4 linked regions of the Drosophila melanogaster genome follow. The protein of the gene in region 4 purifies or fractionates together with the protein of the main gene of each other region. This does not show direct contact. Each region holds a gene or a part of one and is shown on either strand. Other genes may lie near its edges. The genes, in order: Ibf2, Ibf1, CG10265 and HIPP1.

What was found.
Region 1: the proteins of HIPP1 (region 4) and Ibf2 purify together in Drosophila melanogaster (affinity purification with mass spectrometry, with the first as the bait; one large-scale study listed by BioGRID). This does not show direct contact.
Region 2: the proteins of HIPP1 (region 4) and Ibf1 purify together in Drosophila melanogaster (affinity purification with mass spectrometry, with the first as the bait; one large-scale study listed by BioGRID). This does not show direct contact.
Region 3: the proteins of HIPP1 (region 4) and CG10265 purify together in Drosophila melanogaster (affinity purification with mass spectrometry, with the first as the bait; one large-scale study listed by BioGRID). This does not show direct contact.

What each region holds. Positions count from the first base shown.
Region 1 is NT_033777.3:9,257,227-9,264,296, reverse strand, and holds Ibf2 (insulator binding factor 2), read left to right. Parts: upstream 1-5,795; 5' UTR 5,796-5,856; coding exon 5,857-6,041; intron 6,042-6,108; coding exon 6,109-6,511; 3' UTR 6,512-6,570; downstream 6,571-7,070. Other genes in the region: sage (salivary gland-expressed bHLH), read left to right, coding at 555-1,222, 1,284-1,422; ATP6AP2 (ATPase H+ transporting accessory protein 2), read right to left, coding at 2,125-2,691, 2,954-3,306, 3,530-3,572; Ibf1 (insulator binding factor 1), read right to left, coding at 4,047-4,286, 4,341-4,529, 4,594-4,665, 4,956-5,043, 5,110-5,249; CG16736 (uncharacterized protein), read left to right, coding at 6,619-7,010.
Region 2 is NT_033777.3:9,253,086-9,260,900, reverse strand, and holds Ibf1 (insulator binding factor 1), read right to left. Parts: upstream 1,938-7,815; 5' UTR 1,854-1,937; coding exon 1,714-1,853; intron 1,648-1,713; coding exon 1,560-1,647; intron 1,270-1,559; coding exon 1,198-1,269; intron 1,134-1,197; coding exon 945-1,133; intron 891-944; coding exon 651-890; 3' UTR 501-650; downstream 1-500. Other genes in the region: ATP6AP2 (ATPase H+ transporting accessory protein 2), read right to left, coding at 134-176; Ibf2 (insulator binding factor 2), read left to right, coding at 2,461-2,645, 2,713-3,115; CG16736 (uncharacterized protein), read left to right, coding at 3,223-3,614, 3,735-4,176; CG16734 (uncharacterized protein), read right to left, coding at 4,189-4,314, 4,374-4,829, 4,886-5,041, 5,098-5,238, 5,303-5,539, 5,592-5,807.
Region 3 is NT_033778.4:14,990,443-14,997,858, reverse strand, and holds CG10265 (uncharacterized protein), read left to right. Parts: upstream 1-4,023; 5' UTR 4,024-4,107; coding exon 4,108-4,347; intron 4,348-4,430; coding exon 4,431-5,213; 3' UTR 5,214-5,336; downstream 5,337-7,416. Other genes in the region: pcs (parcas), read right to left, coding at 6,786-7,416.
Region 4 is NT_037436.4:20,805,301-20,815,332, forward strand, and holds HIPP1 (HP1 and insulator partner protein 1), read left to right. Parts: upstream 1-4,368; 5' UTR 4,369-4,502; coding exon 4,503-5,628; intron 5,629-5,680; coding exon 5,681-6,150; intron 6,151-6,223; coding exon 6,224-6,897; intron 6,898-6,956; coding exon 6,957-7,167; intron 7,168-7,223; coding exon 7,224-7,370; intron 7,371-7,425; coding exon 7,426-7,578; 3' UTR 7,579-8,032; downstream 8,033-10,032. Other genes in the region: Spc105R (Spc105-related), read left to right, coding at 1-559, 622-1,074, 1,134-1,371; CG3634 (uncharacterized protein), read right to left, coding at 1,999-3,473, 3,539-3,677; CG3618 (uncharacterized protein), read right to left, coding at 8,220-10,032.

The sequences.
Region 1 (7,070 bases), on a different chromosome or scaffold from region 4:
AAATACACTCTTTCATATGGGCTGAGTTCCAGTGTGGGTGTTTGTACATAGCGACGATCAAAAAGAAAAACTCAAACTGAAGTTGTGGCGACGATCGTCGATCGCTGATCCCAGAGAGGGATCCGACATAAGTCGGACGCAACTCCAGCCTGCCACACGCGCCTCGATCACCATTCGCAGCCGTCGGAGTCGGATCGATCGGACAATAGCGAGGAAATTAAGCCGCTTTGTTTGCACAGCGATTGGATGGGACAAAAGGACCCTCGACGACAAGTTGGTCCCCTATAGATCACCTGTTGACACACGTACAAAGCGGTGGCCTCTTAAACTAGACGAGATGTGGCCCTCATCAACCCCGGATGAGTAGTCACGTCTCGAATCGATGGATCGATGGTGAGCCATTCATCACGATCGCCAGAGTCGTCTCTAATGCAACTAAAAGTAAGCAAAACAAAAAGGTACAAGCTAAAAAAAAAAAAACCAACCGAGTCCAGGTAAACCTGCTGCAGTCCGGCCAGAACTCTTGATCGGTCATTCGAAAAGCGGCTTAAGCGATGACGGATCAACTGCTGAGCTCCACGGCCGGCGTACCGGGTGATCCACCGCCAGTTTTGGTGCCCGTATCAGCCACCACCGGTGGACCCTATTTGAGCGGTGGATCCGAGGGCGAGGCGGAATCATCGGAACAGCCCGTTCTTCTAGAGCTCGGTGCCCCTCAATCGTCCAGTTGTCCGGCAGTTAGTCTCAACTACACCCTAACCGCGGATGGAGCAGGCTTGCTGGCATATGCGCCAACTCATCCGCATAGCTACTCACCCAGCGTGATGGGTGGCTACGAGAAGGAAGCGCACAATATGGGTCTGTTGCCACCCACATATAGCGTTATACCTCAGCCGGTGTCGATGTGGCATGCTGGCCAGGTGGCCACCGGTTCGCCAGTGGGCTTGGAATGCAACAAACCCAGTGAGCTGGTACCTCCGCCCATGTATATGAGCTATAGCGGCGGTAGTATAGCCAATAGCACTGAGGTGGACATCGCCAAAGAGCACAATCCCGCCTGGCGGGAGAAGGCGCTGCAAATGGAGAAGGACTATAGACGCACCGCCTGCGATCGGGAAAGAACCAGGATGCGGGACATGAACCGAGCCTTTGACTTACTGCGCTCCAAGCTACCCATATCCAAGCCAAATGGGAAAAAGTACTCCAAAATCGAGAGTTTGAGGTAAGTGAAAGTATCTGCGGTAGAGCTCTGTAATATATTTATATGATCTTTGCCTACCCAGGATTGCCATCAACTACATTAATCACCTGCAGGCCATGCTGCGGGAGAGCTCCGTGGGTCAAAATGGCAATGGATGCTGTGCCTGGAGCGGCGGAAGTAGTTCACCTTATGATAATGGCAACGATCATTGGGGAGCGTAACTTGAATTAACGAATATCAAAGGGAATTCATTTAAATATTCAATTTAAAACTTGTGTTATATTATATCCGCAATTTGCCAAAGTCATTCCATGAACCTATAAAAGTTAAGGTCCATACTTTACGATTTTGAGAAGAAAAAAATTGAAATAGCTTTCATTTTATATTAGTTTATCATGTTAACCTTTTTATAAGTGCAATAATTAAATAAATTATCAAGAATACCACGTATGATTTCAATTATCATTTGCCCCAAAAACTAGATAACAAAACCAGGCGCAACTTTGTCTTTTTAGGCTATATATATTTAACTTTACTTTTCAACACTTCACATTTTGATAATTTACATATGATGAATCGTTTGAAGAACTGACTGACTTGGCGAGTATGTTGTGCATATTCGTATATATATATAAACCTAAAAAGTACAACAAAACAGGAAAATGTAACAAATTTCTATGGAATTGTTGCGACGCCCGCAACTGCATTGAAAACTGAAAAGTTTTTTAATACTTATTTATAGATAATAAAACCAACTACTGCGACAGCTGTCCGCACACACACAAACACACAATTTATCCGCTGTTGGATTGAAGTAGAAGTTGGCAAATTTCAACTTAAAAGGGGGACGAAATAACAAAGCGTAACGCAAGCTCCTCTCGCTCCTCCTGCTCCTCTCGCTTCTCAACTCCTCCTGCTCCTCCTTAGTTGTCCTTCTTGATGCGGGTAGAGGTCATGCGGTAAATGATGGAGTCCCTGCCGGGATCCATGGCAGCGATGGCGTAGCAGATAGCCAGCAGAGACAGTCCGAAGACGACCATGAACCACAGGATGATGTTGAAGATCACCGGGTAGTCGCTGCCGTAGTAGACGGCCAGGTTGTAGGGATTGGTGGTGGAAGCGGCAATGGTATCACGCTTGGCACGCGATGCTGCCACGTCCTTCTCCGTGGTCTGGACAAACAGAACCGAGTCGCTGGACTTCTGGGAGGCAGCAAGCAGGCGGCTGATAGCGGCCGACAGCAATTTGTTGGCCTCCTCCACGGCCACGGACTTCTCGCCATGAGCCTTGGCCACTCCATCGACGGAAACGCGCAGCATCAGGACATTCGAGGGCTTGGCCATCTCAGCCAGATGATCGGCGGCACTGTTGATGAATCCAACCTCCTGGAGGAACTGCTTGTCAGCGGTGTGCAGAGAGGGGTTCAGGTGCTTGGTGGGCTTGGCGGCTGGGGCCTCGAAATCACCAAAGCAGGACTTCCAGGCTTGAACCTATAAAAAATATGTGGTTAAATATACATTGGTCTCTACGTTATATGCGTAAGGGGGAAGGCACTATGATTCACTCTATAAATCATGTGATTAATTAATTTTTAAGGTTTAATAACTATCTATCATATTTGTGGGAAGTTATAGCGGATTGTAGAGAAGCTTCTTTAAACGAACTTTCAGATGAAGATCATGCTTTCTGCGGTTTGACAAATTAGCTAACTGACTAACGAAATGTGCTTTTCCCCTTTAAGACACCACTTACGCCATCGTCGAACTGCTCAAAGTTAATATCGCAGACGGGCTCGTTGGCTGCCTCCAGTTCGGCGGCCAGGGCGTTCAGAGAGGCGTCCGTTCCGGAGCCTGTCAGCTCGTAGGTCTTGACGTTGCCGGCGGTGGTCACGTGACCAATGCCCTGGACATGCACCAGAATGACGCCCTTGGCCAGGTTGAAGGGATCGTTGATGGTCAGTCCGTTCCAGTTGGTATCGCCGCTGACGGCGTTGCCCATGGAAGCGTAGAGTACATCACCCACGTAGTGGCTTTCCAGTGCATCGTTGCCCTTGAAACTGATTGCCTTGGGACGGTTCAGCACGGTGAATTCGCCAGAGGCATTGACTGCAAAATAGGAAGACGTAGCTCATAAGTTCTGTAGAATCTAACATATTCGTCTCCTTTGTCCAAGATTCTGCGCATGCATGTGGGGAGCCCTTTGGAGTCCCGAGTTCTGGGTGTCACCACCCCCAAAGAGGAATCGATGAGTACAGAATATCCACTTTGTGACCGCTTTCCACTTGCTGCGCATGCATTTTACTTGATTATAGATGGTAGATCTACTTACTGGCCGCTATAAACAGCGAGAAAATCACGAAAACTCTCAACATTTTCAGTTTTCCGCTGGACTTTTAATCATATGACGAACGACTGCAAAGAAAACCTTTTCTCTTCCCCGATATCACCCTGACTATCATGTGATGAACAGGGTTGCTTGGGGTCAGTTATCGAATGGGTATCAGTAGGGTTGTCGAAGAGTGCGAACTATCGATTGTACTAGTATTTCTAGTTTTATTTATTATGTATTTTTATTTATTCAATAATTTTGATGTATGTAATATTTATGTATGTAAGCATTAGATTACATCGATTTTAATAACACTTGTAAGCATTGCATTATTACATTATTATTTAATAAAAAGATTCGAGTAATCAGGCTTAAAATAATGTATTTTGTAATCACCTTTACAAAGTTAAATGTAATAAATCTATGTTGAATTCAAGACAGACATTTTCGTCATCTTAACAAAAATTAAGGGTTCACCATGCGGACATTTAAAAGTTATCTATAGTTAAAATACATTTTAATCGCGTAGGGCGTCGATTTCCAATCGAAGCTTCTGAATCTTAAGCAAAGTCAGTGTGCGCTCTACTTTTAGATTGTCCGTTTCCGTTTTAAGAAACTTGGTCTTACTCTGGAACTGACTGATCTCGGCTCGCGCCTTTTCCGCTCGCAATGCAGCTAAACCATTTCTTGGCCTGGCCTCGATGATCGTCGCCGATCCATTGGCTAAGTCATCCGGGTTTTGCTGCAATATGTAATGCTGTTCGATAATCGTTAAAATGTCTAAGATACTTATCAAATTGTGAATATTTACTTCTTTGCTTTCGTCCAGGTACTCAGAGTATTCGGGATTTTTAATTTCAACGTTGGAAATTTCAAATTCCAAATTTTGCTCGCCAGACTCTTCCGTTTTGGTCAGTTTCCTTTTGCGAATTTCTCGTTTCACTCTGGGTTGCTCCTTGGGCGCCTCAGCCTCGTCAGCATCGTCCAGAATTTGTTGTATCTGGAATGAAAAATAACCATAATGTAAGTATTTGATTTAGTTTACGCATTTTTCACCTACTCACCTTAACAATGATCTCCTTGCCTTCGTTGGCATTATCCAGGCCGCCATCATCGTCGCCCGAAATCTTCTGGATCTGCATAAAAAATATATTTTAGAGCATTAGCGATATATAAGTAACATTTAATTTACATATGAATGTTCATATGAGACGATATGGGTTAGTAATTTCAAAAGTCAAATCATTAAGCACTATATATTGTATTCGGACAAAGTTCGAACCGAATATTTGTCAAATTACTTGGGGTTGACATTATAGTGTGCAAAGTATCTTTGGGATTTATTTTGAAGTGCATTTGTCCACTGACGTCCTACACCAGACATATACATACATCCAATGTATCCAAATTGGAAGCATCGAATTACCTTTATCCTAGGAGCCTCGTCATGATCCTTCTCGTCGGCAGAAGTGTACACTACAGCGCTTCTACTTCGCCGGGCATCGCAGGTTTGCCTACAATTTAATGAGAATTACTTGACGCATGTAAACACAATGTTTGGTGTATGTTTGTATGGTTACCTGTGTAACGATAGCCGGGATAGCGCCGTATTTTGGAGTACTTTTTCGCAGAAGTGACAGGTGGCCGAGTATTTGCCATTCTCCAAATTGGCGGTAAATCCGTGGGTTCTGTAAAAATCCTCGGACTTCTTTCGGGGCATTTTAAAATACAACAATCGCAGTAAATTCCAATGTACTATACACGATGCAAATAAAAATGGCTTCACTACAGATGCATGTAAAATCCACGCTTGCATACGATAGACATGTATCGACATATCGATAAAACCATTTTGATATTGATCAGTTCGATGCGTTTCTTTTAGTCAAAACGATATTTAATAAAGATCAGAAATAATTTTATATGTATATAACGGGTGAAGTAGTAAACTTTTAAAAGGATTTGCTTCTTAATTTTACTTATATGTATTTGTAATATATGAACGCCCTTCAATATAGTCTATTTTTTAAAGGTTCCACGCATATATTTTCAGATACATTCATGGTACTATTTACTGCCCGATTAATTAATCGTTAAATATACAAAGCTAAATATTAAACTTATTCTTTTCAAAAATTTGTTATTTATGACCCAGACAAAGTCATTTTTTACAATTCAGTCATTTCACAGATGATTCAAAAGTAAAAATATAATTAATATTCAAATGCAAGCGACCATCGATAGAATTCGATGGCATGTTATCGATACATCGGTTGAATTTACAGCAGCAACACTGTCACGTAATTTAACACAAACCGTATGTAAAAATGTCGCAAGCAAAAAAGGCCAAGCGACCCTCGGGCCTTTCGAAGGATGAAACTTGGAAGAAACTGGGCTTTCTACCCGCGTTCAAGGGCGGCAAGGATGGGGAGCCGAAGAAGTACCGAGCGCTGTGCACCCACTGTCGGAAATGCCAATCAAACACCAGCATAGACAGGCTGATTATCCATAGGTATGTATTATAATTTTTCCCGCTCATTTGCAAGTACAGTCCGTAAAATGTATGTATGTGGATACAGGAAGTCATGTCTCAAGTTCCGGGAGGATCTAACCGCTGAATTCGGTATTAAGGTGGAGGCTACGGACGCCGCTCCGGCAGAACAGAGCTCTTCCGGCTCCACAATTGACTTCACTTCGAATATTCTACTGGACAAACTGATCGACGAGGATGATAGCAGTGCACGCAATCAGGAATCCAACTTGGTGAGCTACTTGACCGATCTGGATCAACTGGTGATCCCGTCATCCGACGCCAATCGACTGCAGAAGGATCTGATCAAGGCGGAAACGGAGTATCTGGTGGTCAAATCCGAGTACTTTACCAAGATGAACGAGATATCCGAACTGAAACGCACCGTCACCTTGTTGGAGGCGAAAAAGACACAGCTGGAGATCGCCAAACTGCGTGCTGAATGCGAGTAGCCTAAGCTTTTTAAGTACACTACATTTTAAATTTCTTGAGAATATACAAATTTATTTAGATAATGAATAATAGTGATGCGGGGAGTTCGATTGAACAATTTATAAAGATGCCCGTCTACGTCGGCCTGCTGATTAAGACTACGGCCCAACTGTTGTCGCATCCCATGGAGCTAGTTCGTGTGAATATGCAGGCGAACGTAATCCACCATAGCCGTTTAAGCATAAACCATATGTTCCGGCTGATGGCCCGTCATGGATTACCCGGATTTTATTACGGCATTGTGGCTGCTTGTCTACGCTGTACTGTTCACACGATGTCAACGTACACGTTGTTCTACAACTTACAGGATAACAAGTACGTCCTAATGCTGCAGCCGTATAACACTAGCATGGTCCTGGGTATAACCGGATTTTGGGGCGGCGTATTGGCAACACCGTTCGCCAAGCTGGCGGTCATTCGGCAAGCTGATCTTACGCGCGGATCCTACGAGAGGCGCAAGTAAGAATATGGCCGAATAAACATAAATAGGCATTTTCCGGTTTAATTTTGAAACCAGCA
Region 2 (7,815 bases), on a different chromosome or scaffold from region 4:
CCCTTTGGAGTCCCGAGTTCTGGGTGTCACCACCCCCAAAGAGGAATCGATGAGTACAGAATATCCACTTTGTGACCGCTTTCCACTTGCTGCGCATGCATTTTACTTGATTATAGATGGTAGATCTACTTACTGGCCGCTATAAACAGCGAGAAAATCACGAAAACTCTCAACATTTTCAGTTTTCCGCTGGACTTTTAATCATATGACGAACGACTGCAAAGAAAACCTTTTCTCTTCCCCGATATCACCCTGACTATCATGTGATGAACAGGGTTGCTTGGGGTCAGTTATCGAATGGGTATCAGTAGGGTTGTCGAAGAGTGCGAACTATCGATTGTACTAGTATTTCTAGTTTTATTTATTATGTATTTTTATTTATTCAATAATTTTGATGTATGTAATATTTATGTATGTAAGCATTAGATTACATCGATTTTAATAACACTTGTAAGCATTGCATTATTACATTATTATTTAATAAAAAGATTCGAGTAATCAGGCTTAAAATAATGTATTTTGTAATCACCTTTACAAAGTTAAATGTAATAAATCTATGTTGAATTCAAGACAGACATTTTCGTCATCTTAACAAAAATTAAGGGTTCACCATGCGGACATTTAAAAGTTATCTATAGTTAAAATACATTTTAATCGCGTAGGGCGTCGATTTCCAATCGAAGCTTCTGAATCTTAAGCAAAGTCAGTGTGCGCTCTACTTTTAGATTGTCCGTTTCCGTTTTAAGAAACTTGGTCTTACTCTGGAACTGACTGATCTCGGCTCGCGCCTTTTCCGCTCGCAATGCAGCTAAACCATTTCTTGGCCTGGCCTCGATGATCGTCGCCGATCCATTGGCTAAGTCATCCGGGTTTTGCTGCAATATGTAATGCTGTTCGATAATCGTTAAAATGTCTAAGATACTTATCAAATTGTGAATATTTACTTCTTTGCTTTCGTCCAGGTACTCAGAGTATTCGGGATTTTTAATTTCAACGTTGGAAATTTCAAATTCCAAATTTTGCTCGCCAGACTCTTCCGTTTTGGTCAGTTTCCTTTTGCGAATTTCTCGTTTCACTCTGGGTTGCTCCTTGGGCGCCTCAGCCTCGTCAGCATCGTCCAGAATTTGTTGTATCTGGAATGAAAAATAACCATAATGTAAGTATTTGATTTAGTTTACGCATTTTTCACCTACTCACCTTAACAATGATCTCCTTGCCTTCGTTGGCATTATCCAGGCCGCCATCATCGTCGCCCGAAATCTTCTGGATCTGCATAAAAAATATATTTTAGAGCATTAGCGATATATAAGTAACATTTAATTTACATATGAATGTTCATATGAGACGATATGGGTTAGTAATTTCAAAAGTCAAATCATTAAGCACTATATATTGTATTCGGACAAAGTTCGAACCGAATATTTGTCAAATTACTTGGGGTTGACATTATAGTGTGCAAAGTATCTTTGGGATTTATTTTGAAGTGCATTTGTCCACTGACGTCCTACACCAGACATATACATACATCCAATGTATCCAAATTGGAAGCATCGAATTACCTTTATCCTAGGAGCCTCGTCATGATCCTTCTCGTCGGCAGAAGTGTACACTACAGCGCTTCTACTTCGCCGGGCATCGCAGGTTTGCCTACAATTTAATGAGAATTACTTGACGCATGTAAACACAATGTTTGGTGTATGTTTGTATGGTTACCTGTGTAACGATAGCCGGGATAGCGCCGTATTTTGGAGTACTTTTTCGCAGAAGTGACAGGTGGCCGAGTATTTGCCATTCTCCAAATTGGCGGTAAATCCGTGGGTTCTGTAAAAATCCTCGGACTTCTTTCGGGGCATTTTAAAATACAACAATCGCAGTAAATTCCAATGTACTATACACGATGCAAATAAAAATGGCTTCACTACAGATGCATGTAAAATCCACGCTTGCATACGATAGACATGTATCGACATATCGATAAAACCATTTTGATATTGATCAGTTCGATGCGTTTCTTTTAGTCAAAACGATATTTAATAAAGATCAGAAATAATTTTATATGTATATAACGGGTGAAGTAGTAAACTTTTAAAAGGATTTGCTTCTTAATTTTACTTATATGTATTTGTAATATATGAACGCCCTTCAATATAGTCTATTTTTTAAAGGTTCCACGCATATATTTTCAGATACATTCATGGTACTATTTACTGCCCGATTAATTAATCGTTAAATATACAAAGCTAAATATTAAACTTATTCTTTTCAAAAATTTGTTATTTATGACCCAGACAAAGTCATTTTTTACAATTCAGTCATTTCACAGATGATTCAAAAGTAAAAATATAATTAATATTCAAATGCAAGCGACCATCGATAGAATTCGATGGCATGTTATCGATACATCGGTTGAATTTACAGCAGCAACACTGTCACGTAATTTAACACAAACCGTATGTAAAAATGTCGCAAGCAAAAAAGGCCAAGCGACCCTCGGGCCTTTCGAAGGATGAAACTTGGAAGAAACTGGGCTTTCTACCCGCGTTCAAGGGCGGCAAGGATGGGGAGCCGAAGAAGTACCGAGCGCTGTGCACCCACTGTCGGAAATGCCAATCAAACACCAGCATAGACAGGCTGATTATCCATAGGTATGTATTATAATTTTTCCCGCTCATTTGCAAGTACAGTCCGTAAAATGTATGTATGTGGATACAGGAAGTCATGTCTCAAGTTCCGGGAGGATCTAACCGCTGAATTCGGTATTAAGGTGGAGGCTACGGACGCCGCTCCGGCAGAACAGAGCTCTTCCGGCTCCACAATTGACTTCACTTCGAATATTCTACTGGACAAACTGATCGACGAGGATGATAGCAGTGCACGCAATCAGGAATCCAACTTGGTGAGCTACTTGACCGATCTGGATCAACTGGTGATCCCGTCATCCGACGCCAATCGACTGCAGAAGGATCTGATCAAGGCGGAAACGGAGTATCTGGTGGTCAAATCCGAGTACTTTACCAAGATGAACGAGATATCCGAACTGAAACGCACCGTCACCTTGTTGGAGGCGAAAAAGACACAGCTGGAGATCGCCAAACTGCGTGCTGAATGCGAGTAGCCTAAGCTTTTTAAGTACACTACATTTTAAATTTCTTGAGAATATACAAATTTATTTAGATAATGAATAATAGTGATGCGGGGAGTTCGATTGAACAATTTATAAAGATGCCCGTCTACGTCGGCCTGCTGATTAAGACTACGGCCCAACTGTTGTCGCATCCCATGGAGCTAGTTCGTGTGAATATGCAGGCGAACGTAATCCACCATAGCCGTTTAAGCATAAACCATATGTTCCGGCTGATGGCCCGTCATGGATTACCCGGATTTTATTACGGCATTGTGGCTGCTTGTCTACGCTGTACTGTTCACACGATGTCAACGTACACGTTGTTCTACAACTTACAGGATAACAAGTACGTCCTAATGCTGCAGCCGTATAACACTAGCATGGTCCTGGGTATAACCGGATTTTGGGGCGGCGTATTGGCAACACCGTTCGCCAAGCTGGCGGTCATTCGGCAAGCTGATCTTACGCGCGGATCCTACGAGAGGCGCAAGTAAGAATATGGCCGAATAAACATAAATAGGCATTTTCCGGTTTAATTTTGAAACCAGCAAATATCTATATGTGTATCGTTTAATCTTCCAAAGCTATGAAAGTTAACCCTTTTTTGTAGCTATCGAAATTTCTGGAGAGGACTCAAATGTATGTACGCGAAGGGAGGATTTACTTACCTATTTACCGGTTGGAAAATAAACTCGATTAGTAGCACAGCCGTGGCCGTGCTGTATACTCCTATTAGTGATAAGGTCCATACAGTGATATCATGGTTCCACAGACTCGACGAGCCGTGGCTTAGCGATCTCATAACTATGGCGCTAACAGGCAGTATTATCACAGTCATTATGACACCAGTGGATGCGTTGGCTACTCTAACGTTAAACGAATCCTCACACTATGGCCGCACTTCCTATCCATATCTGTATCGGAAAATTATCCGAAAACATGGCTACAAGGGCTTCTTTTTTGGATGGAAACCGGCACTAATGGCCCTTATCCCACATACTGTTTTGGCAACGTTTGTATATCGCTTCTTACTAGATCGCTATATAACATAAAGACCCCCATATTTATTCACAAATCTTGTGGTGCACAATTGACAGAGCCTCCTTGAATTCTGATAGTTGGGCGGGCATTGTTTCGGTTATCCCGTTTTCCAGTTGGAAGCTAAAGACTTCGATGAACCGCGAAACGAGCTGGGAAAAAATTGATCTGTTAGATGTAACCAGAAATATATATAGACATAATAACATACTTTTAGAACTGGAGGTGCCTTCTCGTGGGCCACCAAACATTCCATTAACACAGCCACAAACTTCCCGTAAAACTCCGGCAGGTGCGGATGCAAAGCTTGCAGAGGAATAGGCATGATGCAAACCAGATAGCATCTTAGCAGTTGATCCAGTAAAGCAGTGCATACCTCGACACCTTGGAGCAGCTTGCTCGACTCCAGGACAAGCATTTGTAGGATGGCCTTGGCCCAACGATAGCTGGTGCTAACATTTAGAGCAAGGCATACGTCCCGACACGCTACCAATTTATCTGGTTCGCATATATCCATGGCCAAAGCAGTTTTCACATCGCTGCGATTGATGGTGAAGTAGTATCCTAATCGGATGATATACTGCAGCAGGCAGATTAAAACTTTTGGGCTGGAGGCCATTGTCACGTTCTGAATGAGGCGTTCCAGCATGTCGTCGCATTGGTTCCACTAAAGTTGCCATCATATTTATGTTCAGTAACTAGAGTAAGTTTCAAGGTACACACCGTGAAAGCATCTAGATCTACAAAGTGATCAAGACAGAAATACAGGCAGTTCCAAACAGATTCGATGGCTTCAATTGAGTCCATGTTGTAGACATCCTTGAGGGCATGGTCATAGATCACACTGTGCACGTTCAGTTCCTGAATGTCCTTGGAGTCCTGAAGGATGAAGTGTTTCATTGAAGGTCTTGGCGCTAAAGTGGTCTAACACGTACGCTAAATTTTAACATCACTGAGAAGATCTTGACCCCAAGTTGCTTGTAGATAGTATCATAGCATTCGCGCACATTAAGACCCACGGATAGTGCAAAAGCCAACATTTGGGTGGACATTGCGGATTTCTTTCCGTAACGAAGCTGCGGGATAAAGTAAGTGAACAAACTGGACTATCTGGATAAATATTTGTCTGTTAGTGTATACCTCTAGATATCTGCCGAAACCATGCACAGCTCCTAGTTGTCTCTTCCAGCAATCCCTGTGCAGTTTCTTCTCGTAGTATTTCAGGAATTGATCATCCGTCGACTCCCACCAATGGGAAGACAGCTTACTAGCCAAATCATTAGCATACTTCAGGAGATTACCAGAGTCGTCCTTTAGTTGGTAAATTGTAGGCGAAGCTGTCAATTCGCAAATCAGCAGGAGGAGCTTGAATCTTAGCTGAAAGTTAACTAGATTGTAGTCGTGGAATTGAGTGTTTGCAAAGCACAACCTCTTCGTGTCCTGCATCACCACTTTTCAGGAGGAATTCCTGCACCAAATCGTAGAGCTTTGGCAGATCCTGGATAAGTAGGGAATGGTAGCTGTCGAATTGCGACGTCTCCAGCTGAATGTTGTCCAGGTCCTCCTTCAGCTCCGGCAGCATATAAAACTCCAACAGCTCACACATGTGAGTGGCGAGCGCTTCGGTGGTATCATCGCAAGTCATTTTGTTTTCGAAAATCTCTTTTAAATTATGTAGCATCCAAAACGTAAACAGAAAAGCCGGCCAAATCCGATAACACTCGGCAACTATCGATTTAACAGAATTTTTTAGATAACTTTTAACAGATGTGAAAATGTTAGTAGAAATGACTTCGTCACAATACTTATTTTTAAAAAGAAAACATTTTAGTTTTATGTTGTTGACGAACATGAAAAAATTCATTTTATTTTCACAAGTATTAGAGGAAAAGGAAATACAGAATCAGTGGCACCCTCTTTAATAATTAAACTGAAATTATATATCATTTGTATAATTATAACTTATTATTTTTTTTTATTATTTTCTCTACAAAAAGAACATATGTTTTGTTTTTATTTTTTTAAACAGTTATAATATTTTTCTAATTGGCCTAATCAGGCGATATAGTAAGACTTATCATAACCATTGGCAGTCATTTCCTGGTCAATCCAATTTCGAATCGATGATACGTTGGTCATGCGGGTTGGTCCCTTGAAGAATCTGAACACCACAATGCCACTAAGCTGGTAACGATTTTCCGAGGGATTTCCAAGGGGACAGGCCAGCGGTCCACCAACATCGTCGTAGGCTATTTCTACGCCTGGCTGGCCTGCAGCGCATAGTATGGATGTGCTTAGTTAAAAGCTCCAAATATTGATAGCAAGTGATCGCGACACTTGCCAGTATCCACAATGCGCAGTGGCATCCGTTTCATTATGGTTGTGTATTGGCCCGAGTTACCGAATGCATTCTCTCCCCATCCATTGGCATAGCACAATGAGGTGGGTGGTGGAGCAGCTTCTTGGTCAGGTAGACATATCACATTAATATGATCGTTCAGTTCGAATGATTGCTCGAGGATTAAGAGTGCCGCGTTACAGCATTTGGGATGCTTTATAATTCTTTGCACCCTTATCTCTTGAGACTGTAGAAGCTCAAAATTTTATTTTAAGTCCAATATCCCAGCACGAACTGTGTAGTTTTCACAATTTTCAACCCGGTAGGTGACAGTCATAACCACCCGCGGATGAATAAGTGTGCCTGCAAAGGAATAGTTACCGGTCTTCATTACAGCCACTGTCCAGGGAAATTCGCCAAATTCGGATTTATACTAAATGCCAGCTGGGATATCGTTTAAACCACCGACATTGAGAATTCCACAGCCTCGTTTTTGGCTTTGGGCTCGGACTTAAAGTCGTTGTTCGTAATCGATTGTAGGGACAACATAGTGCCAATATATCTGGACAGTGGATATTTTGAGTATCCAAAATACCATCCGACGGCGGATAACATTGGTTATAAGGCACACACTGGCAATTTGGAGCAATTTGGAGCAATTTGGAGAGCGTCCACACTTTTTTGACTTTCATTCATAGGCGAGCGTGGATTCAGGACATCGGCATTTGATCTATTCACTAAAAACTTTAAAAAGGTTTGTTCTCGCATTTTTCTCTTCTTCAGAAGCATTTAACCTTTGGGCGCTCAGTTTTGAAACAGCACAAAATACGACCAATAGTCTTAAGAATCCAGTCATTTTATCTGGAATATGAGTCACAAATTTTTTATTCGAATTAAAGAGAATAATTTCTTAATGTGAAATTTATCACTAAAATTTACTTTCATATATTCCAAGAAAGAATATCTATCCAGGAAGTTTTTAAATTGCAATTATCTAACCTTATAATTATAGTTTTATACGATTATGGGCTTCTTCGATTGTTTCCTTGTTCATAAATACCTCGTTTCCAACAATAATTTTAAGAAATTTTGATTCGCTTAGAGTTGTAGAGAACTGAATCTTGAATCTCTGATGGTTGTAGTGTTCGCAAGAGCAGTTTAGAAAAGACTGGTGGTCTCAGATTTAAACACAAACCTTGTTAATTTTATGTTTTTATGTTTTTGAAAGCTTAAATGTTGATAAAAAGTGGAAAAAAAGTTTTTAAAGACAAGAAATTAAAAAAAATTGGTAATTTAATTTAATTTACGGATAAGT
Region 3 (7,416 bases), on a different chromosome or scaffold from region 4:
ATTTTTAACTACCCGCACACTCGCACCTACGACGGCAAACTTGTCGAAAATATATACGAAAATTGTTTAACAAGTTGAAGGCTGACTGGCAAACTTTTTCACCTGCTCAGCTTTCCGGGTGGAAATAGGGTTGGTACAAAAGTAAAATATATAAAAAAAAAATACAAACAAAAAAAAAAACTAAGAGGGTAACGAAAGTTTGCAATGATCCATAAGTTTGTTCCGTTGCGCTTACAGCTGAGGAACATTTTCCGGGCAACTTCAGTTTTGGCTTTTAATTAAATAATTTCTGCCAACAATGTTGGACAGATGGCTGCATTTATTGTGCCACTACTCATCATTCCACCATCTAAAGTAGTTATATACAGTGGTAGCAGTAGCCGTAGTACTGGCCATATACCATCCATACCATCGCTTTTCAGATGTGCAATTATTTCGGCTTGCAAAATATTTAACTGCATTTCCTATTGATTTTTGTGCTTTGTAATCAAGTTGCCTGCGAGGCAAGCAGGAAATTGCCGATCTCCTGCAATTGTTGTGCCCCACCTAGATGGGCTGGTTGGGCTAGATGGCCCCGGTTCCATTGAGGACGACTTGCTTCGGATATGGCCAGGAAGTTATCTTCCCCCGAATTCCATCTACCTAAGTCCGCCAGTTCGCCCGAACTCAAACACATGCCCCTGTCAATAGACGAGGTCCTGTGGAAATGAGCGGTGGGGTAGGGGGAAAAGTTCTATGTTCCATCGGTCCATCGTTTATAGCAATTTCATTTGACTTCTCGTTTGTGTTTGCCGTCGGTCAATAAATGAGCGTAATATTTGGACTTTGATTCCTCCGGCTAAACTGACGACGGTGAGACAGTTGCAACTTGCAACTTGCAGCTTCCAGGTTGCTAGTCACCAGTCACCAGTTACAATTACCAGTTACCAGTTGAAAGCCCAACAATGCCCCCACATATATTACTGGCAAACTTGGTCCGTCGCTTGGGAAAAGTTGGCCTAGAACACACAACCGTGTTTGTCATTGTAAATGTGGCCATTAGTTGTATTACGCAGCAGAATTTGTGGCGTTCTTAATTTTTAACCCGCACCAACTAAAGTCAATGAAAATATTAATATTCTAAAGATATTAATAAATAATTTTAATCTTAATGCTCCATCTAAGGTAAAACAACTAACTTTTGTTCTCAACAGATAATAATGCATAGTGTTATCCCATTTTAGGCATGATTTTTTTCCGTTTTGTAATTATTATTTATTGTATATACCAATAAAGTAATTCACAGCTTGCTAATTGAAAAGAGTAGGTTTATTTTATACAAGCCAATGGAATGAATAATTCCGACCATGAAATTAAATGGCAGTAAAGCCAAGACGATTTGATAATGCCCACAAATGTGAAACCAAAAGGACGGCACTGTGTGTTGCAATCAATGTTTTTGTGCACTACTTTCAGATGAAAAATGACATTTTCTTGATGCTTGGCTTAAGTGACAGTACAAGTGTCGGGCGAAGGTGCTTGGAAAATGCCTGGAAAAGCCACTTGTCCGAACTTACTTAACACATGGCGACACAACTCACACATGCACACACTCTCGCACACAAATACACATACTGTGACACACTATATACATATATGTAGTTGTGCAGCTGCGGAAAGTATGCAACATTTTTGTACGAAAACGTGGTCGCACGGCCAAGATGTTGAAAATAGTGCCAGCGAAAAGTGGGGAAGAGAACTGTGATGGGGTGGCCTTAGTTAATTCGCAGTCCACAACAATGCAACAGCAACAACACCAACATCAACAACAACAGCAACAACAACATCTGTGGCAATTGTAGCGCCAGCTTTTCTATTGTATTATGACAGCAGCTGCACCTGCAAGTATGCAGTGATTGTGATTCTTTGCTTTCATTTTTTTTGCTAGTTCACTCGGCTGCGAAACCCCTTGAAAAACAGTAAACAAAGAGCAGGACAATAGTGGACGGGTGGTGGGTGGTGGGCGGCTGGGCGGACAGATGGGTAGGTGGTAATGCCCTGCCATGGCATGTGTTCATTGTCCAAGAGCAGTTCATGCCTGGTTACGCATCCCTATGTGTGTGTGTGTGCCAGTGAGTGTGTGTGTGTGTGGTGGGGTGCAGGACAGGTCGGGGGGCAGTTGGCATATCAACTGGTCGGACATGGTGTAAACACGTTTAATGTTGTTGCCATTGTCGTTGCCGTTGCCATTGCCATCGCATGGCTGCAGTTGCTCCTCCTGGCAAGCTGGCTGGCTGGCGAGCCCTCGGAGTCACGGAGCCATGCAGCCATGGAGCCATGGAGCCACCTAGCCACGGAGCTCGTCCTCTTCTGGCGCCGTCTCCTTTGCCACGTTTAATTTAATCTACTGGCCAAAGCTGCAGCCGCTACCTTGACATGGTCTGCACTTCAATCTGCATGCACGGCGTACAGTGGTGCCTGGCTATATCCAAACTGTTAGCAGCCAACAAGCTAGTTTCGAATTGTGTCTAATTTGTGTAGAAGCATCACAGCACAGTCAGGCGTTTTAAGGGAAGCTAATATCTTCTATTTAGGATCAGTACAATAAACAATACAAATAATAACAGTTATATACTTTAAGCGGTATCCACTGTAGTTTGCGTCCTGGCTGCTCGAGTGCACCGCAGGTCCATTTAACTTAGCTTTGGCAGTGGCAGTTAGTAGTAGTAGTAGTAGTGGCAGTGGCAGCGGCAATGGGGTTCCAGCTAGCTGGCCACCTTCTCCGCTTCCTCGACTTGGTGCATCACTCAAATGCCGGGGAGCCCCGCAGGCCCCCAAACGAGGCGACAGGAATGCGTGTGTGTAGCAGAGCGTGTGCAAGTATGAGTGTGGGCAACGTAATTTGCATGGTCAGCTTGCAGTTTTGGGACACACAGAGTGGCAAGTTGTGCCTCGCTCTCGTCCCTGGCTTAATTGCATGCAGGAATAGCAACTGCAGGAGCAGCCTCATCAGCATCGGCAACTTCATCCAATTGCCGCTGGAGCTGCGACCCACAGATCCATACAATTTCCGGGCTGTAAGCGATGCGGCTCTTTAAAGTTCACTTATTAAGTTGCAAGAATAGCAGGAAAATTCAACCAAAAGTGGGCCAGTTTGAAAAATATCAAGAATATGCCAACGATACTCACCTACGCTCTGCCGGGTGATTATGCTGCACGTGGTTCGACATGGTCCGTGCTCGTTATGCGGAACATTACAACAACAAAAAAAAAAAATTTAATATATATGTAGGTACGCAAAAAGTGCTGGATTTCCTTTTCATTTGTTTTCCACACACACTAGACAGACATTCGAGTTGAAGTCAAAATCAGACAATGTTCCCTCCATATGGCTCCATATCACATTGGTCGAAAAAATGGCAAGCTTACAAATGGCGCAGTCCCCGGCTGCATAAACGATGTCATTTTTTGGATTGCCCAATTTTTTTTTAGGTAGCTTGCGAATCATTTGCAAGCGATTTAATTTCAATTGCATGGGCGTTAATCAAAGGAAACAAAAGCCAACACGGGAAAAAGAACAAAGAAAACGCTAGTCCACTTATTCGACAATGTAAAAGAAAGCAGAGAGTTACTATTAATGCAGCAAAAAATGAGCAGGAGCAGTTCAAATAAAATCTTTCCAGTAATTTTCGATTCATGGACCAAAAACCGTAAACAAAAAAATCGTTCTATTTTACATAGTGAAAGTATGTTTTCATCTATTTTTTATCAATCTGAGCAAAACTACATATAAACATAAATTATTTATATAATATTTATATTAAATTATTCCAAACATTTTATTATACCATTTATATATCGTCATCCTTATCAAATCTTATATCTAAATGTTTTTTTTTTTAATGTGTAATGTGTTTTTCCTATTTGGTTTTTTGTGTGCTTTGAATTTAGGCGCGCAACAAAATGAATAGCAACTGTTTGGTATTTTTATGTCAGATTTTGTACCAACTAAAAATCGTTGACATCTACTACGTTTCAACGTCTGGCCACTCTGCACGAATGCAAAAACAAACTGAAATAATTTTTTAATACCATTTTTCTTCTTGGCGCGAATTGGCTACAAAAAAAATGAATGGATCGCGTAAAATAAAGTCCATGAAGACGATTCGCCTTGGCGACGTTCTATACGACGACCAAAAACGACTTCTAACGCTGTGCCGCAGCTGCGAATGCCACTTTATGACGCTCCAATCGTTCCAACGCCACCTAGCCGATTGCCCCGGAGTAAAATACATAGTAACGCCGATCGAACCGCTGGCATTTGATGATGCCAATCGGGAAACGAGACTGGTGAATGGCAGACAGGAGGTAGGCAGCTAAGGGAGCTCCATGATCCGGCGTTGCCCTGAAAACTTCCTGAGAATCCTTTTGATTGAACTCACTTCTTGCAGATTCACATCTACGACCTGGAGGCGGTTAAGAAGAACACCAACACGGCCATCGATTGGGAGGCAGAGCTGGAGGATCCACGCTGGTACACCAATCCCAAGCCCACCGTGCAGACCATACCAAAGACAAATTCCAAGGAAAATATAGTAAAGGAGGATGTAGTGCCGCTCGCCAAGGAGCCTCAGGAACCGGAAGGGGTGCCTGCGAAACGTCCGCGTAGCCCTCCCACCACCCGACGTACCATTCTGACCTCCCAGCAGCAGCGCAGATCCCGTGCCTGCTTGACTTCCCCTCAACCGCCAGCAGTAAAGATGAAAAAGGCCATCATTCTGGTGCCCACTGTGCTGGAAGATCTGAAGCGATTGCAGGACACGGAGAAAAAGGAAAGGATTCCAGAGGCACCACCAGCTCCTGTACATCCTGTAAGGTCATTGCAATCTCGTGCTACCGGGACAACGCAGTCAACATCTCAATTGGTACCCATGAAATTTTCTCCTGCATCGAAGCTTATTATACCAGTCTCTTCAAGGATATCTGAAGTACCAGAACCTCCCAAGACGCCCGAGAAACCAGTTCCTACCATAACAAGCAAATCAACTCCTCCATTGGATGGCACCCAGAAAATCCTAAACAAACTCAGAGCATGCGGTGTGGAGGTGAAGCGAGCAAGTACCCAATTGAATGCCACGACTGAGCTAAATCCAACCAAAAATCAAGAGACCTTGGACATCATGAGAAAACTGCAATCCAAGGGCATCAGATGCACCAAAGTAAGAAAATCGTAGTTGTATTCGCCGTAGTGTAAGGATGGTGCCATTAAATGTGCCTCTGGAGGCGAGGATTTAGCAATATAACTTTATTTAATTTAAATGGAGATTAATAAATTCCCGGATAGCGTTTATAACTTTAATAGCAAGCGAGTCTCTTTATTATCAAATCGCTTAATTTTAAATGTTTTATTTTGGTTTTTTTGCTCAAGCAGTGTGACCTTTTGATGCGACAACGTTATCGATTTAATATATCGACTATACACTAGTGGTGGCTATTTAGCTTATAAATGTATTGAACTATATTAAATAATTAAAACTATATATCACTCAAACAATGCCGTTTAAATACTTTGAAGACGGTAATCACATGTTCCATACAAAATGTTAACAGTCCTAGCTTTTTTTATGTTGTCCATTTATGTAGCTGAAAAGTTGGCATCACTGTGTAAGAAGAAGAAGCAGCTTGTTGATTTTTGGTGCCGCACGCGTTTCGGTCGAAAGTAATTGGAAATATTTGTGCTTGCGCCCGGCGTTATATATATTTTGTAGTACTCGAAACACTGCCGAATCCAAATCCAAAATTCGCGTGTGCACACCCACCTGCCGAGGCGGTACCAATTAAAAGGTAGGTCAGCTGACGACGATGGCAGCCAATTCGGGCTTACATAATTTGGGGACAGAATATTTATTTTGCCACCTTAGATTTGGCATTCAATGCAGTGAAAATGACATCATTTTGAAATTTTTAGAACCGCTTGTGTTTTGTTTGGTGAATTTTATAATATTTGCAATATTTCGGCTGCAGTTGCATCATTGACAGCGAACCTTAAGTTTAGTTCTCTGTAAAGGTCACCAAGCCCAGACTTAAAAAACAGATGTTTTTTAACAATCTTGGTACGTCCCACTACTAAAGCACTTATAATTTAATATACATTTAATCCGCCAGTAAAACACCTATAAATTTGAATTAGAATTCAATTTTATTCTCATTTCAAGTTTCAATATTATTTCTATTTCAAATACTTGTAGTTCATTTCCTTACTTAACTCTCGGGCACCGAACAAAACTGCATTGCATTTTCCTTTTAATAATCCACTACATTTAGCTTTGAGAGTTTCAGGCTTAATTATCTAATTGAATTCGTTACATTTCGACACTTGTTTTTATTCAGAGTTTCATTTTCGTGGTATTTTTAGGCTAAACTACTTAGTGCATGTGCCCATTTGAATTAAATTAGTGAGTCTACCTGGGTTTATTAGTTTAGGGTTTTAACATTAACTTAAAGCTGCTTATTGTTTGCATATCATTCAATCCTTTTCTTTTTAGCTCTCTCGAATCACAAAACATTTACATAGTTAAAGTATTAACAGTGAGAAACATATACGGAGACAATAGATTAGAATGTAATCAACATTTATACGAAAATAGTTGGTGTTTATATCCTGTGGGTGTAGAGACTTATCGATAGTGGTGCACATTTAAATGCGGCGTTCAACGTTTTACAATTACTTTTCATTATTCATTTAATATAAACAAATCTGATATGGGGCTGGCTGAAGAAGTCTCCTCTGGCCCCCTAGTTGCTCACTATTCCAGAGAGCGCCTACGCAGCGTCTTGCGCACTCCGCCGAAAGCAGCACTGCTGCGATCCAGGAGCTCGTTGGACAACCTGGCCAACAGGGGCAACTCCCGCATGGAAACGTTTACGGAGGGCAAGGGCGCCAGTTGCTGTTGCAGCTTCTTAATGGGCGTGGGCGGTGCAAGGTGATTCAGCTGGTGATGGGGTGTGACTGGCAAGCTGGCTGTGGTGGCGCAAGAGGTGACCTTCACCTCGACCACATCGCAGTGGCGTTTCAAGGCCTCGGCGCCCAATGAATCGGGTCGCTGTTCGGTGGACTTCAAGCGGTTCGTTTGCTGCCTTTTGGCTGTTTCTTTCAGCATCATCAAGTGATCCAGCTTGTCCACCGTGGCCTTCAGTTCATGCTCCCACACATCGTTCTGCTGCTGTCCATCTCCGCCCTCGATGGGACGCACCGCCAGGATCTTGACCTTCTGTCGCAGCGCCTCCAAATCGCGTTCATCCACTACACCTCTGAGCTCCCCGGCTCCCGTTTCATCGTAGTCGCAGGCATCTTCCTCATCTTCAGTTTCGGCAGCTGCTTGGGGAGTTTTTGCGCCCAAAGACATCTGGCTGCCCGCTATGGAGGGATAGTCGCAC
Region 4 (10,032 bases):
AGAGCTACGCAGCAACAATCTCAAAATTCATCAATCTGACCGGGAACACAACCATCTTTGCAGCCGCAGAAGATTTGGGTGGTGAGGGGAAGGACCAGCCCCACCAGATAGATAACGAGCACCTAAGTCTGGTTTCCACGCTGGCGGAGGAAACAGACGATGATGGCGACGAGAAGGAGGAGGAAGAAGAGCAGAAGCAAAAACAGCATCTCTTACAACCTGAAATCTGCGAGGCTCAACTGAATTCAATGGTAAAAGCTGGCAGCGAAGGCTCCTGCAAAAAGTGCAGGAATTGCAATCATACTTTGAGCGAAACAAGGCTAAGTAGCGAGTCATTTGTCCTGCCACCTCGGAAATTGTGGGACTTTTCAAGGCTACAGCAACGGTTGCGCAATATAAGGCAGAGGCCGTCGTGGAAGGAAGTGAACACTTACTGGGAGATCGAGGAGGAGGCTCGTCTGTCCAGGAACCAAGACTCCGACGATTCAATGGAGCAGACCAGGGTGGAGGAGGAGGCCACCAAGTGGAACAAAGCGGCGCTTCTTGAAATGTGCAAGCTGTGAGTACCGAATACACTTGGAATTTTGAATCATTTTTTAACATTTACTATTTCTACAACAGAAGAACAGAAGAGAAGGACATAGCCATGCCCCCGGAATCCTTCTTTACGAGACTCAAACGTTTGCTAACCGAACAGCAGCCCAACTGGATCTTCGACTACCAGCGTAAAGTGTCCCAGCAAATGATATTTTACAACCGACAGCTGACCACGATCCGAATCGTGGTGAACTACCAAATCGAAGACTTAGTAGAGGAGTCCACCATTAGCGTGTGTTCCATTCAACTAGACAATGACGTGCCCACTCCCAAGGACCAATGGTCATCGCGTGAACACTTTTTAAACTTCCACCTAAGTCTCCGCCTGCCGATGAATCCTAGCGACGAGATCGAGGGCAGTGATGAGACGGCTTTCTTGAAATTTCTCAACGGCATTGATCGCAGAATTGCAGAAGTCAAGCAAAAGTTACACAAAGTTTTAGATCTTCTAGCGCAGAAGAGAGCGAGGCTAACAAGGTATAAGCTTCTCCAAGGTGTATCTCAATACATTACTAATTTAAGTGATCCCTTTTTAGAGAAGCAAATCGAACTATTGTCAGAAAGATAGTGCGAAAGTGCATCGACCAGGAACCCATCGTGCGTCTCGAGAAGATCACTTTCCTTATTGAAATCGGTAATATTGAGGACGTTTCCTTCACGGACATCCTACGCCCCGAACTGCATCTCTTCAATGAAAACATTCAGTATCTGCCCAAGGGAATTCCTTTCCTCGAAGCCTTTCTCACCGATCCCGAGCAGTACCTTAGAAAATAAATGCGTATGTTAGACTACCTTTTAAATTGTTTTAAATTAAAATAAATGCATTCGTCTGCGTTTTTTAACGAATTCACATTGAAAGTGTATGCGAATGGGCAAGGATTTCCACTGAAATCGAGCTTATTTATAAGAGCAACCATTACTATAAGTCCTTTGAACGAAATAAAACAAATAAAGAGCAAGGAAGGATTTTGTTTGAATTTAAGTTTACTCGCTTCTCGTACTCGTTTACAATAATTAAAATAATAATAAAACTTAAAAGTAATTTAGTTTCCTCTTGCGTGGCTGCTGAAAATTCGTTTCGTTCATCCGGATCACTTGGAAGCTGGAACTAGTTGAGTGCGTGTTTGCTTGCATTTGCTTTCTTTATGTTTATTTCACGAAGACAACACAGACATATTAAGATCCAAAATATATATACGTTATATATATATATATATATATATATATATGTATGTTTTGTGTTTAAGGTTTGTGTTTTGAGTGGTTCCGTGGCCTTCTGCCCGCTTGCTTCTCAGCCACATGGAGATGGATGCGTGTGAGTATGTGTGGTGTTCTTAGTTTTGTGTGAGTGTGTGTGACGTCATTCGAGGGTGGAAAGTGGAGGAGTGTGTGACCTCCGGCTTAGACGCGAGACAACTGCTGCAGCAGATTGCACGGCCAGAACGCCTCGATACGCTCCTTGAGCAGCTGAAATGGATACGATATCCAGGTAAGTACGGTCTGTGCCAAATGACCCATGGGCTCCGGATACTGGTGGGTGGCCAAGGCCAGCAGGGCGGTAATGGAGCACAGTCCCGCCGTGAACAGGATGAAGAAGGGCAGCTCCTTCTTAGGATAAACAGACACCTCGTGGAACGCCGGCAGCAGTTCGCGATCCGCGCACTCTGTGCATGTTGGATATGGATAGAAGAGGTGGCCACGCTCCAGCGGATACGGCAGCATGCGAAACGTGCCCTCCCAGGTGCAGTGCAGCAGGTTCAGGGCGCCCTCCACCTGCTTCCAGTGCTTCAGATGGAAGAACGCGTAGGCCAACGCCTCCGAATCGCCGCGCTTCAAAATGTGCTCTGGCGGTAGAATAAGTCGCTTTGTCTCAAGCAGATACTTGGGCACATGCGGATTGAACTCCACCGCCCGATGAATGGCCTCAACGGCGCTCATTTCAGCTTGACTTAGACCTCGCTTGGATGCTATGTCTGGCGAAAACTTGTCGGCTACGGCGCGCGCCTTCAGCAGAGCAGCTGTATAGCAGATAGTCGCCGATTTCGGCAGCGAGATGTCATCGTACTTGGCCAGAATGGCATGGCAATCGGCGTAGGCCTGCATCTCCAGCAGCGTTTCGATTAGATTCTCGTGAATGTTCAGTACGCTCATGATCGAGGGTATCTCCTTGGTGAGATCGCGAAACATTTTAGCCGCCTCCTTCAGCTTGCCCAGCTTGCGGGCGCACATGGCAAGCCGTCGCTTGATATAGATCAGCACATTGGTGTCGCGCCGATGCATGCCATCCGCAATGGCGCCCTGGTGTTGGGTGGCCTGCGACTTGCGGTAGTTGATCTCGGCGACCTTTAGGGCCGTCTTCAGGATCTTCTCCGCCTCCATAATGGTCATGGCTTCCTCCTCGGCCAGCAGTATATAGGCAGGTGCACATTCCGCATTGATTTCCAGAGCACTGTGAGCGGACTTGATGCGCTGCATGGGATTGCGTTCGCGCCAGGCCGTCTGCATGATCTCATACTCCTCCTTGCGGGCATCGCCTTCGCAGGTAAAAAATGTTTGATGGTCCTGGGCACTTAAGTTCATGTCGTAGTAGGTCAACGGCTCCTTGCTGGTGGCCCAAAAGAATCTCTGGTACTCGGCGCCGCGAAATAGATTAAGTGGATTTCGCCAGACCTTACACTCGGGCATTTGGGTGCCCGTACTTGTGGTGGCGCTGCCACTGCCTGATGCCCCTGCTCCACCCGATCCTCCTCCGCCTGCTCCGCCATTGCTGCTGCTGCTGGAGCCACTGCTGCTGCTGCTGCCACTGCCATTGCTGGACTCTGATTGGCCATCGCTGCCATTTATCCAGGGGCTAATGTGGTTGATAGAGACTTGCTCTGCGAAACAGGGACAGTGAAACAGAATAAGAAGGAAGCGGAGGAAGGGGAACCCCACTACTCACCTATAAACGAAGTGCCATACTTCCGGAAATACCACCACTCAAAGATCAGGATCAGGCCCGAGATCAGGCTGGAGGTCCCTGTGAGCGCCACGTAGAACTTAGGCGTCAGAGTGCTGAGAAACATGGACGAATCCCACATCCTGCTGCCTGCTGCCCCCTGCCTGCGAAGTTCTGTATTCGACGCTCGTTTCGCTTTGGCCCCAGCTCCGTCCGGATTTTGCCGCTCTCCGGGATTAGCTTGTGCCTGGGGGTTCGCGGATACTCTGTGCTCTGGCACTGACCACCGCCGAGGGGTTAGATCAATTAACGGTTGCCTTTCTTGGCGCTATCCTTGCGCGTATCCTTGCTGCTGATGAGACTTTTTTCAATCAAGTATTCGAAAGGGGATGAGCGGGGGGTAAATACCAGCGCAACGTGACCGTTTCTCGTCGCCTTCTAAATGCCGCTGAACGTACTGGTCACTCTGAAAAGTTCTTGCGGGAAGACCTTTCAACTTCTTTCAGAAATATTCCACGCATGTATCTAAAGTCTATTGCATGGCCAAGAGATATACACATTTCCCACTGTTATCTATTATTACTTATATTTGTTTTAATAGTTTGGTTCTTATTTGTGCTCAACATATTTCGACAGTTATTTCTTACGATCACGCTAAGAACTTACTCTAATAGCAAATAATAACAAAACCGGTCATACATATTAAAATATATAAGCGAACTACCTGATATCTATTTAATGCTAATTGTTGTTTAAATTTAATGAAAAATGTAATTCTCGAACCATCCACTTTTTCCGATATTTTCACGCCTATCGATAGATCCACCTGCGCACCACTACAAAAAATGGCCGCTGAGCTGCAAGTGCACTTTTTTTTATAATAGACCAATCCGATTGAAACAAGCACGCAAAGCCCTTAATTTGGAACTCCTGTTGAACGGAAAGCCATCAGTGGGGCAGTGGAATCATGGAGCAGGTGTCGGATAGTGCGGTGACAACTCTGGAGTCAACCCAAGCAGAGGAGCCACCACCAGGAGTCGAAAAAGTTGAGACTCTAGAACTAAAAACGGCGGCGTTAGAAACACTCTCGGAAAGTGCGGGTCCCACTGATTTGGAGAATGAGCTGGCCAATCTCAACGGATCTGAAGAGGGTCCAGGCTTGGACGAGCTGAGCACTCTGGAGAGGGAGATAGCTAAGCTGCATAACATTCGACCGCCGGATGCGGCGTCCGAAGTTAAGGATTCCGACACACCAATTGCCTTAGCAGACAATGGTGGCTTAGAGCCCCGCCAGGCCCCAGATGAAGCTAAATGTCGAACCCCAATAATCGAAGAAGGCAACGCTGCCTCAGGCAACGGCCAGTCCAGCGAATCCCCCTTGGAAGAGGTAGATCTCATTGCCCTGCTCAAGGGGACGGATACCAGTCATGATCAGCCTACGGGAGAGGAAAAGTGCACATTGGAGAAGGCTCTCTCCGAGCTTGACGGCGTTGGAGAAGATGGGGATGTAGGTGTTACCATCGAGGGCGAAGGGCAGTTCGAAATCATGGAAATTGACGACGACGAGGGGGAGTCATCGAGTCGAAAAGCCAGCCCCAAGGTACCTGCGTCCAAGCCCATCAAATCTAACTCCTTGCCTTCTATATCCAAGCATAAGCTCTCCCCGGAACAAGCCAGAGCTGTTGCTCTGGAGCAGATGGCCGGTCTAAAGCCAAAGTCGCGTCGTAAGGAGCCGCCTGCGCCGCCTTCTGTGGTCGCGCCGATAGATATTGTCAGCTCGTTGAACGATGATTGGGACGACTACGACTCTGAGGAAGACAAGTCGGCTTCCGCGTTGGTGACAGAAGTTATAACTCTGCCTTCAGCACACGTAGTCACTAAGAAGCCACCTCTGCCTGTGAAAAAATTGTCATCCCCAGTTAAGCACAGCCCGAACTCGGCAATTTTGCTAAACAACAAGATCAGCGGAGTAAAAGTAATGTTAAAGACCGTGAGCCAAAAGCAACTTGCAGCCTCAACAGGGGCAGCAGCGGAAAAAACCAAGCCGACTGTCGTTGTGTCACCTCCCAAGGAAACCGAAGAGCATACTACGGGTACAGTAAAGTTGGAATTCATTAAATCATTGCTTACAAACTGAATTTTTAGGGTTCAAGCGTATGCGTGTAATTAAAAGGAAGATAATCTGGGACCCCGATGTACCAGAGACGAAAAAATCGTTTGCGCAGTATGCTAGCACGAAGGCGGCATGTCCAGCACCCACCACACCAAAAACAACTGTCAAAAGCATTTCGCCCACCACGACGACTAAGAAGGAGGTGGCACCCAAAAAACGGTCAGCTACACCTACTGCTCGGTCTACTAAAGCTGGCACTCCGGTCGGAGGAACAGAGCGGGGTCCCTCGCCCGTCAAACGACGCGCGCAAACTCCGAACACAGGTCTAGCCAATGGAGGAACTCAAAAAAAGAAAAAGGTCTCTGAGATCGATCGCCTGATGGGCGACGAGGGAGCTGCCAATATGATTCATGCAGTGGAGCATGAGCAGCGGGAATTGAGTGGTGGTGAGGTGTCCAATAAGCCGCTGATGCGGAAACGAGCGATGACCATAACCGGAAGGGTAAGTACTTCTACTATAGAAATCCGAGATACCTATTATCGATTATCGAATATTTATGATTTTCCAATACAAGAACCAGGCAGCACGAGTTGCTGTGGAACCAACACCGCCCAAAAAAGAGTCAGCACAATCGGCCGCCAAACGAACGCCTGCTGATTCTGTTTTTACTAAGGCCACCGCCAACACATCTGCCCGTAAGCCTCGCGCTTCCGACTCGTGGGACTATGTTTACAAACAGCGCGCCAGCGAGGAATCGATGATCATGCGTCGGCGCTCCAACAGCTCGTACTCCAGCAACGCTTCCGTAAGTCGAAATTCGCTGGACAATAGGCCCGGAGCAGCCAATCTGTCTGATGATGCAGGCGAGGGCTCGGACCCGTCATTTAAGTTTGTAAAGCCCGTAAGCAAGTCGAGCCAAAGGGGCGGTGAAGATACCTCCTCGCATACGCTGGCTAACGATATGAAGGCGAACAACGGTAGCGAACTGGTGTGCCTGCACAAGGTTAACAAAGTTGCTCACCTGGTCATCCACACGGAACGAGGAAACTTCGGCCATACGTACAGCAAGCAGCTGCTGGAGCAGTTGAACGACACACTGTCCAGTGTTGCCCGCAAAGGCGAATTCAACACGGTGTTGCTTACCGTCGAGGGTCCACAGTTTTGTCAGGGCATCGATTGCCAGGAACTGATACAGGGTTCCCTGGAGAAGCGAAAGGATAGTGCCAGTCAACTGGCTGTAGCCCTTAAGTAAGTAATTCAAATGTATCTTTGAGAAAAGGCTTATTAACGAAACCGTTACATTTTAGATGCTATCTACGCACTCTGGCCACATTTCCTAAACCCTTGGTGGCTGGCATTGTTGGCAGCCAGATTAATTTGGGCGTTATGCAGCTTCCCTTTGCTGACTACGTGGTGGCCTCTGATGATTGTAGCTTCGAGACTAACTATGCCAAATTGGGTCAGCTGCCCGAGGGCTATGCTCTGTGGCATGGTCACCAAAGAGTTTCCAGTGAAGTGGTAAATATTCAGTCTTTTATAAAGCTTATCTACAGCTCATCCCATGTATCGTTCAGCACTCGCGTTTGTTTCTTATGGGTGAAAGACTGTTCGCAACGGAACTTTTGGAATCGAATAGTTTCGTTGACAAGATCTGCAAGGCCAGAAATGTCAACGAAATGGCTCTGGCCAAAGCCAAACAGATATCCACTAGCTCTGCGGAGGTAAAGCGTAACATCTAGTGTTATTATTAGTTAACTTATATTGAAAATCCCACAGATGTATCGTACACTAAAGAAACTCAACCACTCCGCCGTCAATGTCACGAAATTCCCGCGTCTGGATGAGGAACTAAAGGTTATAGGAGAGCAATGGGTTACTGCCGATTGCTTAGCCAATTTCAAACGCTATCTTAACGACGTTGATTTTTAGAGCATTGATTTATAGTTACTGTATACCATTTGGGAATGGTAGACATTCATCCATACAAACCATATAAAGATTAATTCATACATTTAGTTGAGTCCTTTTAGGAGTTTTATTCTGGACCATGAGACTATCGCCCTAAGAATTTTTTTACTCCTACCCCATTGTAAAGTACGAACGCTGTGTAAATTGTAAGAAATTCGGAGGCAGGAGTTATATCCTGTTCTATTAGGATTTTAAAGGTAACTCGATTAGTTGAACGTGCTGGGATTGGAAAGTTTGCAAATTAAATTATCGCTTACACGTTTTAAATTCGAAATTTTATTTTCCGTCATCCGAAATTCCCAAATAGTTCACTTTTCAATCAAACAATGGAGTTTAAGATCCCATGCAATATATCTTGTGTTATATGAAAAAAATGTTAAGCCTCATAATAAATAAAATAAGATGAACAGCTCCCATAAACGGAACTTATCAATTGAAATCTATTTGTCGACTAATTTATTATGGGAGGCTAGAAAAGGTTTTTAATGTACAATGTAATGCACGCAACTAGTTTAAACTACTATTTATGATCGACAGCACGCTTCTGCTGGCTAAATGCTCTATAACTCAACTCAGTTCCTGATCGCCATCTGAATGCCCATCTAGTTGTTCTTGTGGTCCTCGAAGTAGGAAGGTAGCTCTGCTTGGAGGCGCAACAAACGGACGTAGGTCAGCAGTTTCCATTCGCTCAGCGGCTGATCCTCGGGATGCACGAAGGTGGACATGTATGTGACTAGCTCCTGAGATCCGTCCTGGTCGAGATCTGCGACAAGCATCGAGTGGTCCTGGTTGTTCAGATCCGGTTGGCACACCACCTCCTTGCGGTCGTGACGGCAAAACTGGACGATGTTGCTTCGCGAGGTGTTCTCAATGTGGGTATCGGCCCCCACGAAAACCACTAGCAGCACGGTTTCTGTAATCATGTTCATTTTGTAGCTTCCGCCGGGAGAGATTCCACTCGATTTGGTCAGGTTCATAGTTGAAGATGGCAGTCCGAATGATTCCCTCTTCTGCTTCACATGCTCGAAGAAATCGAACTCCTGGTGAGCCGGTTGAAACTCTTGATCTTTCGCCTCCGTGCTTCTTCTTAGACGTTGGTGCTGCTGTTGTTTCTTTGCCTGAGCCTGAGACTTTTCTTTATCCTTGATGGCATTCATGTTCTTGGTGTGATTGTTGCTGCCACTCTTCTGCACATTGTTGCTGTTACTGCTGGCGGAAGTCTGTTTGGAAGGCTTAGCCAAGCCATGCCACTTCCAGAACTTCATCACAAAGCCGGACATTTGCGACTTGGTATTCTTGAAGTGCCATTCGGCGGGCTTCATCCCGTACATTCTGCTCGTGATGAAGTTTTCCACCACATGGGGTTTGCCATCGCGGACTTCACTGAGAACAAAGGTAACATTGCAATCCTCCGGACAGCGTCCTCGGTTCTCCACCACGAGTTCCCGTCCACTTAAAGAATATATGTTCCTCTGGGCATCCAGTTCCCGCCGCTGGCCATGGTTCCTATGCTGGGAGATCTTTGAGGTGCCTAGTCGTTGGCTTACAATAGATTTGTTGGTGATCAGGGCATACAGCTCGGCCAGACTCTTGGAACGCTGCTGCTCTGTGTCATTGACTCGCTGACAGGTGAAGCTCACGTTGCCCGCCTCGAGCTTCAAGTTGCTGAGAGTGTCGCAGTCGTGAATGGTGAAGCCATCACCAATAGGTGCTCCTCTTCTGCCCGACAGCATGCGCAGCACATTGCGAGCCTCTAGTTTTTCCGGAGATTCATGTTTGAGCTGGGCAAGCGATTTAGTGCGCTGTACCAGTGACAAACTAGTCACGAGCAGGAGGTCCAGCACTCCATCTGCATCCAGATCAGGCAGGATAACTGGGAAGTCATAGGCATCAACTTTTCGGGCTGATCGCTCCTTATGCCACCAGATCCATTCACCAGAGACGGGATGAATGGCTCCAAGTTCGCCATACTCATCCAGTACCAAGCAAGCTGGTTTCCCATTGCCATCTATGTCTATGAGGGTGCAGTCCAGGGCCACAGGCTCATCAACCATCTCCACAAACCAAGCCACAGCTCCCGAGGAGCCAATCAAACAGATGATGCCATTACGCCGCTCGTTACCTGGTCGGAATTCCGGGAAAAAGGCATCCCCGCGGTACATAAATATCAGGTTGTTCTCCCAGGCTCTTAGACCACCGACCACATTGATTCCTCCCTTAAGTTCCGCCTTTGTGTAATTATTGAACCAGTTGTGGGTCTTTATCCGGTCTCCGACGGCTGGACAGGATCCAGTGCCATCAGGATTACCGCAGGGCACCAGCCATACAAAGGATACGACGGCGAGGAAGCACAGGAGCAGGCTGCCTATGAAACAGCATTTCCTTGCCGGTGACATGGGGGTTCTTTTGGACAAA